2 linked regions of the Notamacropus eugenii genome follow. The protein of the gene in region 2 interacts with the protein of the main gene of each other region in a biochemical or structural test. Links are inferred from orthologs where the notes say so. Each region holds a gene or a part of one and is shown on either strand. Other genes may lie near its edges.

Region 1 (3,747 bases), on a different chromosome or scaffold from region 2:
GACTGAATGTTATTATTGTCAAATAATCCTGGCACAGGATCCCCATACAACCGTCCCAGAACTTCTGGGTCTGCTGCAGACACTCAAACTTCTGTTGCTTTAAGGTATGCCAAGCATTTCCTCACAACATAGTAATGCAAGTATATTATCCCCAGTTTGCAGGTATGATGGATCAGTCAGGGAGAAGTGCCTTGTCAAGGGCAAACTGCTATTAAAGAGTAGAACTCGGATTTGAACTCAGACCACCTCACTCTTAATGGGCTTCCCGCCTCACTATTGCCTTCTACACTCATCTTGCTGTTTCAGCCTGGGTCAAGGGAAACAGTGCTGGATTAAACCAAAGCAAGTCAGTCAAAGTATCTGAGACTTAGTTTCCTCTAGTACAGAATGAGAGGACTGGACTAGATGAGGTCCCTTGTGGCTCCAGAACTGGATTTCTCTTTTGATATCCTTCACGTTGCCTGTCTGGAACAACACTGCAGAAAGCAATGATCCGCAGCTATTCATAAAGCAGAAGGAAGACTGACCCCCTCCCACACTAGCTTAAACTGCTTTGCCTGACACTTCAAAACTAAAAACCACTCCCTTCCCCACTCTACAGTACGGCCTGGATCCAACATGCCAACTCTCCTCACCGGGCCTTTGCAGAGGCTGTGCCCCATGCCTGGAGTGTCCTCCTTCCCTTCAAGACACAGTTTAAGGGCCATTTCCTACTTGTGGTGTCCCCCAAGTCCTAATGCTATTTTCTCTATTATAAGCTTTCAGGACACCCAGTGCTGAACCCTCTCCTGATCAGTCAGTAAGTATTTATTAAGCGCCCGTTATGTGTGCTAGAGCTCATAATTTCATGGGGGAGAGAAGAAGTTAAAGACTGCATCCACAAGCTATAAAAAGGATAAACAGCTAATAATCTACAGAGGACAGGCACTAGAATTAAGAGAGCTTGGGAATGGCTTCCTACAGAAGGTGAAGATTCTGGGTTGGGATTTTCAGGAGCTAGAAAAGCCAGGAGGCAGAGATGAGGGGGACAGCTGGGAAAATGCCAGGAGCCCAGAGACAGCGTCAGGAAACTGAAAGGAGGCCAGCGTCAAGTGGATCCGAGAATACACCAAAAGTACAGGGGGTTAGCACCTCTCCCTCCCACCTAATAACCCCTCCCAATTGCTTTGTAGGCATCTAGGTCAGGGTTGGGGCAGCTAGGTGGGGATGTGGGCCTGGAATCAGGAAGACCTGAGTTCAAATCCAGCCTCAAACACTTCCTACCTGTGTGACTTGAGCAAGTCACTTCACCCTGTTGCCTCAGTTTCCTCATCTGTGAAATGCGCTGGAGAAGGAAATGGCACACTACTCCAGTATCTTTTCTAGGAAAACCCCAAACACGGTCACAAGGAGGTGGAAGGGCCTCAAAAGACAACAACAAAGACTAGGGCTGTCCCGTATTTGCTCATACACACCACCTACCGCCACCAACACAACAATTCTGACAGGAGAAAAGGCTCTGCCTTCAAGTCAGAGTTGAGTTTAAGTTCAGTCTCAAGACCGTGATGGTGGCCTGCCCCAGGAGGAGTCACTGAAACCTGCAGGGGCCTCTTGAATTGCTGCTAAGGAGCCTCTGGAGAAGGCTGAGGGCTAACCCCCTCACAATAACATCACAGCTCCCTTCTATCCCTACCAGTGAAAGCTGTCAGTGCTGGGCTTTAAAGTTGGCAGAGCGCTTCTCACTCAAGGTGCTCCAAAAGTTCAGCTATTGAGGCCTTAAACAACGGCAGCTTAAAGCAGCACCAAGCCCTTTGGAACAACCATCCTTTGATCTCTCACTGGGTTTTTACAACACCCAGTAAAGTGGGTGCTGTCACCATCCCCGTGTGAAAGAAATCAACTTGGTGAAGGCTGCTATTTTACAAACTTCCGTTTAAAAGCTCCTCTTGCTTTGGCTCGCGGGCTCCCGGGGACCCTGCGGCCACGCTGTCCATGGTATTTCCTTGGCCATTTCCTTCTCCGCCCTATGAAGACAGAGGGTGCTGACTTGCCCAGGGTCACACAGCTGGCATCTGTCTTCCTGACTCAGGCCCACTGAGCCACCGAGCTCCCTCCAATTAAAATGTAAGCATTTTAAGACTTAGTTAAATTTAAACGCTTAATTTAATTTGGAAGCTTAAATTTAATTAAAAAAACAAAACTACGTACCGGGCACTGCGCTAAGAGCTGGAGACACAAAGAAACGCAAAAGTCCTCCCTGCCCTCAAAGAGCTCGGAGTCTAATGGGGAGACAACATGCAATGATTAGAGGCACGGGCCGGGGACCTGCAGAGGGGGAGGAGAAAGGCTTCCGTCTCCGCATCCTCCCGCGCCTAACGCGGAGGCTAACACCTAGTAGGTGCTTTAGTAAAAGCTGGTCAAAGGGCGAAAGAAAAAAAAAGAACGGGGCTGGGGGGGTTGTGGGGGAGGGGACCATGGGGGAAGGGCCAAGTGTCTGCGCACGCGCGCCGCCTCCGCCTTTGTACCAGGATGCGGGGCATTTAAAGACCGGGCCCTGCGCATGCGCCCACTGGGGGAGGTGGAGGGGGGGGACAGTGAAGGGAGGACGGGCTGTAGGCTGGGGGGCAGCAGACCTCCCCTCGCCCAAGCCCCGACACGTACCTGCTCAGGTCCTCGGCTTCCATTCCCCGCCGCCCTTCCAGCCGGCGGTTCCCTCTCTTAACCCACGAGCTGCTGATCTGCCGAGCCGGAGGGCGCCGTGTCACCCGGGGACGGACAAATAGATGGATGGATGGGATGGAAGCGGGCAACAGGATCAGACCACAACCCAGAGCTTCTACACAGCCCACGAGAACGCCCCGCCCCCCTCCCCTTCGCCGCTCCCCTCCGCTCCCGTCAAACTCTCCACTCCTTCCTTCCGGCACCCGGCAGCCAATCCGCTAGCGGTTGGCGTGACACGTGGTGCGAGGAGCTGGCCAATCGGCTTCGCTCTGGGATGGCCGGCCCATTAGCTTTGCCTCAAGGGCTTTCGGGATGGAGAAAAAAGGAAGGGGGGGGAAGGAGGGAAGATGGGCGTGACGTCAGCCCTCTCTCAGCATTTGTGCGCTGGACCTGTTTGCTCCGAGCCAGGGTGGGAGGATCCTAGTTTAGCGAGGACTACGCCGGCTGAAAACACGAGTATTTGGAGGTGCTAACTGGGATCATGCAGTCAAATAATCCACAGCATTAAAGCGAAAGCTCTAATTTACCAATGCCAAATTAAAAATAATTATTACAGTTTATATAGTGTTAGATAGGACGGTGTAATGAACGCTGCATTCAAAACCGGCTTCTGACGCTTAATAACCGAGTGACTGGGCGAGTCTCGAAATCTTTGTCTGCCTGGGATTACTCATTTGTAAAATGGAGATGAAAATAGCACCTGCCTTTCAGGATTATGAAGATAGAATGAGGTAGTGTTTGTAAATCGTACAAATCACTATATACTGTGTTCATTACAAGGGAAGAAACTGAGGCCCCCGAAAGGTGATTTATAGGAACAGAGAGCTGAAAGGGTTAAGGAGGATATCTAATCCAAGAGGGTCATTTTACAGTTGAGGAAACTGTGGCCCAGAAAGGCTAAATCATCTTTTTAAACTTGTTAATGAATGTAACAGTCAGTGATACCTGAAAGGTATGGAGGAGTTGTAATAGGCGTGGCATCCAGAACAGGTCCTACCAGCCTAAGCTACGTTCTTTTTGACAAGTTACAAGATCAAGAGAATGCTA
Region 2 (3,747 bases):
GAAAATCTCCCTCAATTGTTCCTAGAGTTGGGCATAAAAAGAAAGAAAAATTGACAAAAGTGAAAACCTTTTCCTAAGGAACTTTGCTGGGATTAGCAGTATGTAGCGGGAAATAGTTGGGGTGTCTATTTCTGAAAAACTCTTTATGGCAGCTGTATAACTAGTTTATGTCCCTTTATATAACAAAAGTCTAAAACAAACTAAAGTACTACTACTACTACCAAAGCAAAAATCTGCTATTAAGGTTACTCAGTTTGAGAGCACAAATTTCTAAAGTTGAGGTCCTTTGTTTTCTACTTAAAGAATTCATATTCATATGCCAAAATTAAAAGGAAAAGGGGTAAAGATTCTATCTTAAGAAAGTTCATCAAACAATTTCAAAGTCACCTACACTGTGCTTTGCTGAAAAGAAATGATTAAATTATGGTTTTCATATTTCTTAGGAAAAAACACAAAAAAAATTAAGATTTAGGATCAAAAATAAACTCCAAGTTAATCAACTAAAAATTTGTTAAATTTTTACTAGTGCCATTTCTCCCATTGGTTTATGTTTTTCATTTAACCGTTCAAGAACCTGTACAAAAGAGTATTTGTCATTTTTCAATACTAGTAATAGCAAATGTTACATGCCATTAAAAAAAACTGGCTGGAAGATGGGACACTATTTAAAAACAAAGCCAAGCTAAAGTTTCTGTTGCAAAGTATGCAGTTGTTTTCTTGTGTTACGTCAGATACAAGTGTTTTCACTGTTTCATTTCAGAGTGCACATCTACAGGCATTGCAGCAGCAACATAAGTCAATTTAGATTCATTCATTATAAAGTGATTTTCAGATGTTACCACCAGAGATGAAAAGGTTTCATTTGAGAAAGAATGTCCTTAAACTAGTAACTACAAGACGAATTTTTACAGTACAAAGAAAGATATTCAAAAAGAGGAAATATGAAGAGTTCTCAAAGCTGTAATAGGGAATAAGGTAATGAGCATTTAAAAAAAAACACAAAAATTAGTGACATGAAAAAAAAGTCTGCAGATGTTATTATCTAAAGAAGCCTTCAAAGAAGTTGTCCTAATGAATATAAGCATGGTTTTACAATAAGAGATATTCTGAATCACAATGAATTTTTCTATCAAATTCTAAGAATTTTTAAGTTTTAAAAGCAGATGACCACTTTGTTTTTAAAATAACCTAAATTAAGTTTAGTCAAAGGAGGAGCTTAATTTTTAATGGGACACTTGGCTTACATCCATTTAAAACTATCCCTGTTAGAAATATAAAATTAAATACATAGTAACTTTTATGAAATATTACTATTAAAGTTTCAGGTTTAGGAGAGTGGAAAGATTTGAGGGGATAGAGTTTCCAAAGTAACTTAATATTATATCCAGAAACAAGCTTGAATTTTGAAAGATTAAGTTATCATTATAGATTGCACCACATAAAAAGTTTCTGGATTTCAATACTTAAAAGTGTTATCACTATCAGTTAAAAACTATGATTGATGTTGTCGCTGTCTTGGAGATTCAGAAAATATTTCTAGTCACCAATCTTTCAGCCTGGATGTTTCTTTCCCTTACCAAGATGCAGTCCTGACACACACACACACACACACACACACGTTTCAACACTCCGCAGCAGATACACTCATCTGATATCACTACACAAAACAAACACACGGCACCTTACTTTTTTTTTTTCCTCCTTGGAAAAGTCATTTAGCATCGAGAGACTCGTGCAAGGTTGCACCCCAGCCTAGCAAATCAATCTGAATCGGAGTATCTTTTTCCACTGCCTTCCAATCGCACTTAACTCCCTTCCTTCAAACTTGGAAGAATTTATGTGATCAAGGTAAGGGGAGACGGAGGGTGAGGGAAGGTTTAGTGGGGAGATGGGAACAATTTTACGTGGAATCCCTTTGCAATGCCTAACTAGATAAAAAGAGGATCACTTCTCTTCGGAACCCACCACCTCGGCCATCGCTAACATCCCATTCATCTAGCTACGATCCCAAAGCCTTTCCAGGAAGAAAGCCCCCTCCCCCGTTCATCTGTGATCTGAAATGTCTACTCACCTTTGGAGTGGAAAGTGACAGGTAATTCAAAACAGGGTCCGCGGACACTAAGCCTACTAACCCTCACTGCGGGCTGGGCCTTCTCCCAGTTCCCCTGAAAGCTACGTTACATCTCGATCCTCTGAGGCTCCCAGGACACTTGGCTTCGATCAGATTCACTTCGGTCCCCTTCCCCGGCACTCCAACCCTTTATGTTTTCAACCATCTTCCTGCCCTCCCACCCCCAAAAGGCCCCCGGTCCTCACCTGTATTGTCACTGGCTGAGAACCCAGGCGAGTTGAGTTTGGCTCGTTTGGGGTTGGGCGGTCCGTCCAGCAAGTTCTCAGCCATTTTAGCCGGCTCTCGAAAACAGCCCCGCGGGTGGGGGTAGGAGCTGCGAAGGGTCCGGGGCAATCAGGAGACAATCCGGAGCGGGGGGTTGGGGAGGGTTCGGAGAGCTGCCCCGGCCGGGCCGGCACCGAGAGGGAGCGGGAGGGGGGGGGCTGTCCGAGCGTGTGTGAGTGAGTGTGAGATGGGGGGCCGGAGGGGGGGAGGGAGGCCAGTGAGGTGGGGGGCCGGCGGAGAAATCACAGCCACAGCAACAGCGCCCCGCAGCGCTCACCGCCCGCCCCCGGCCGCGGCCGCTGCCGCCGCTGCTGCTGCTGCTACCGGCCGCGGCTCCCTCATCCCCTCCCCGCCGCGGCGGCGGCGGCCCGGGACTCCCCCCCGCCCTCCCGAGCGCGACACTCCAAGGAGGGGGGGGCCGAGGCGGCCCAGCTGCCCCCCCGGGGCCCAGCTGGCAGCGACGGTGCCCGGCCGGGGCGGCTCAGTCAGTCCCGGGGAACATGGTGCCTCCCGCCCGCCTGCCTCCTCCTCCTCCTCCTCCTCCTCCTCTTCGTCCTCCTCCCTCCCCCCCTTCTCGCCCCACTTAATTAATTAATTCTCTCCCCGCCCGGTGGGAGGGGGGCTTCGGGGTTCGCTCCCCTACTCGGTTTGAGGAGCCGGAGCCGCCGCCGCCGCCGCCTTGAGGAAAAACAATGCGCGAAGCGGAGCCTCCGCCGCCGCCGCCGCCGCCGCCGCTGCTGCCCCCCCCACCCCCGTTCCGCCGCCGCCGCCGCCGCCGCGGCTCCGGGAAGCCGAGCCGAGAGCCGTGCGGGGCCGCCGGAGCTGGCGCCGAGGGCCGGGCGGAGCGGGCCGGGCGGGCGGAGTGGGGTGCGCGGGCGGTTGTGGGGCCCGGAACCGGCGGGGCCGAGTGGATCGCGCTCGAAGCCCCGATCGGGTCCGCGACAAGATGGCGGCTGTTGATTCCTCAATTAAAAAAAAAAAGAAAGTTTTTTTTCTTCTCTTTTCCAGAGCCTGAACGGGAGGGGGAGGGGGCGGGGCACGCTTATGCGTCACCACCACCGCCACCCCCCCCGCAGCGTCACCACGCACGGCCCCCGCCCCGCCCCCCTCCACCTGCACCCGGGAGCGGCCGGAAAGATACGAACGCGCCCAGGCGGAAAGGGCCGAGCGACCGGGCTGGAGTGCGTAGCGCTGCCGTGTTGTGGCGGACAGCGCCGCCCGTGGGCCGAAGGAGGGACGTGAAGGGCCGTGGGCGTTTGCGAGATCGCTTTTCCTCCGCTTTCGCTGTAGGTCCCTAAGTGGGACCCCAGGGGGGCGGCGGGCAGCCCTGGGCCGGTCTATGAAAGTGTTCA

What was found.
Region 1: the proteins of CREBBP (region 2) and TDG form a complex in vitro, tested with the Homo sapiens proteins (2 studies listed by BioGRID, with this or other methods). The link is inferred for Notamacropus eugenii from reciprocal best matches to the Homo sapiens genes CREBBP and TDG.

Annotation. Positions count from the first base shown.
Region 1 is NC_092874.1:286,697,318-286,701,064, reverse strand, and holds the start of TDG (G/T mismatch-specific thymine DNA glycosylase), read right to left. Parts: upstream 2,895-3,747; 5' UTR 2,664-2,894; coding exon 2,641-2,663; intron 2,259-2,640; exon of another isoform or gene 2,188-2,258; intron 1-2,187. UniProt on the Homo sapiens protein: DNA glycosylase that plays a key role in active DNA demethylation: specifically recognizes and binds 5-formylcytosine (5fC) and 5-carboxylcytosine (5caC) in the context of CpG sites and mediates their excision through base-excision repair (BER) to install an unmethylated cytosine.
Region 2 is NC_092872.1:58,235,934-58,239,680, forward strand, and holds the start of CREBBP (CREB-binding protein), read right to left. Parts: upstream 2,517-3,747; 5' UTR 2,402-2,516; coding exon 2,317-2,401; intron 1-2,316. UniProt on the Homo sapiens protein: Acetylates histones, giving a specific tag for transcriptional activation. Mediates acetylation of histone H3 at 'Lys-18' and 'Lys-27' (H3K18ac and H3K27ac, respectively).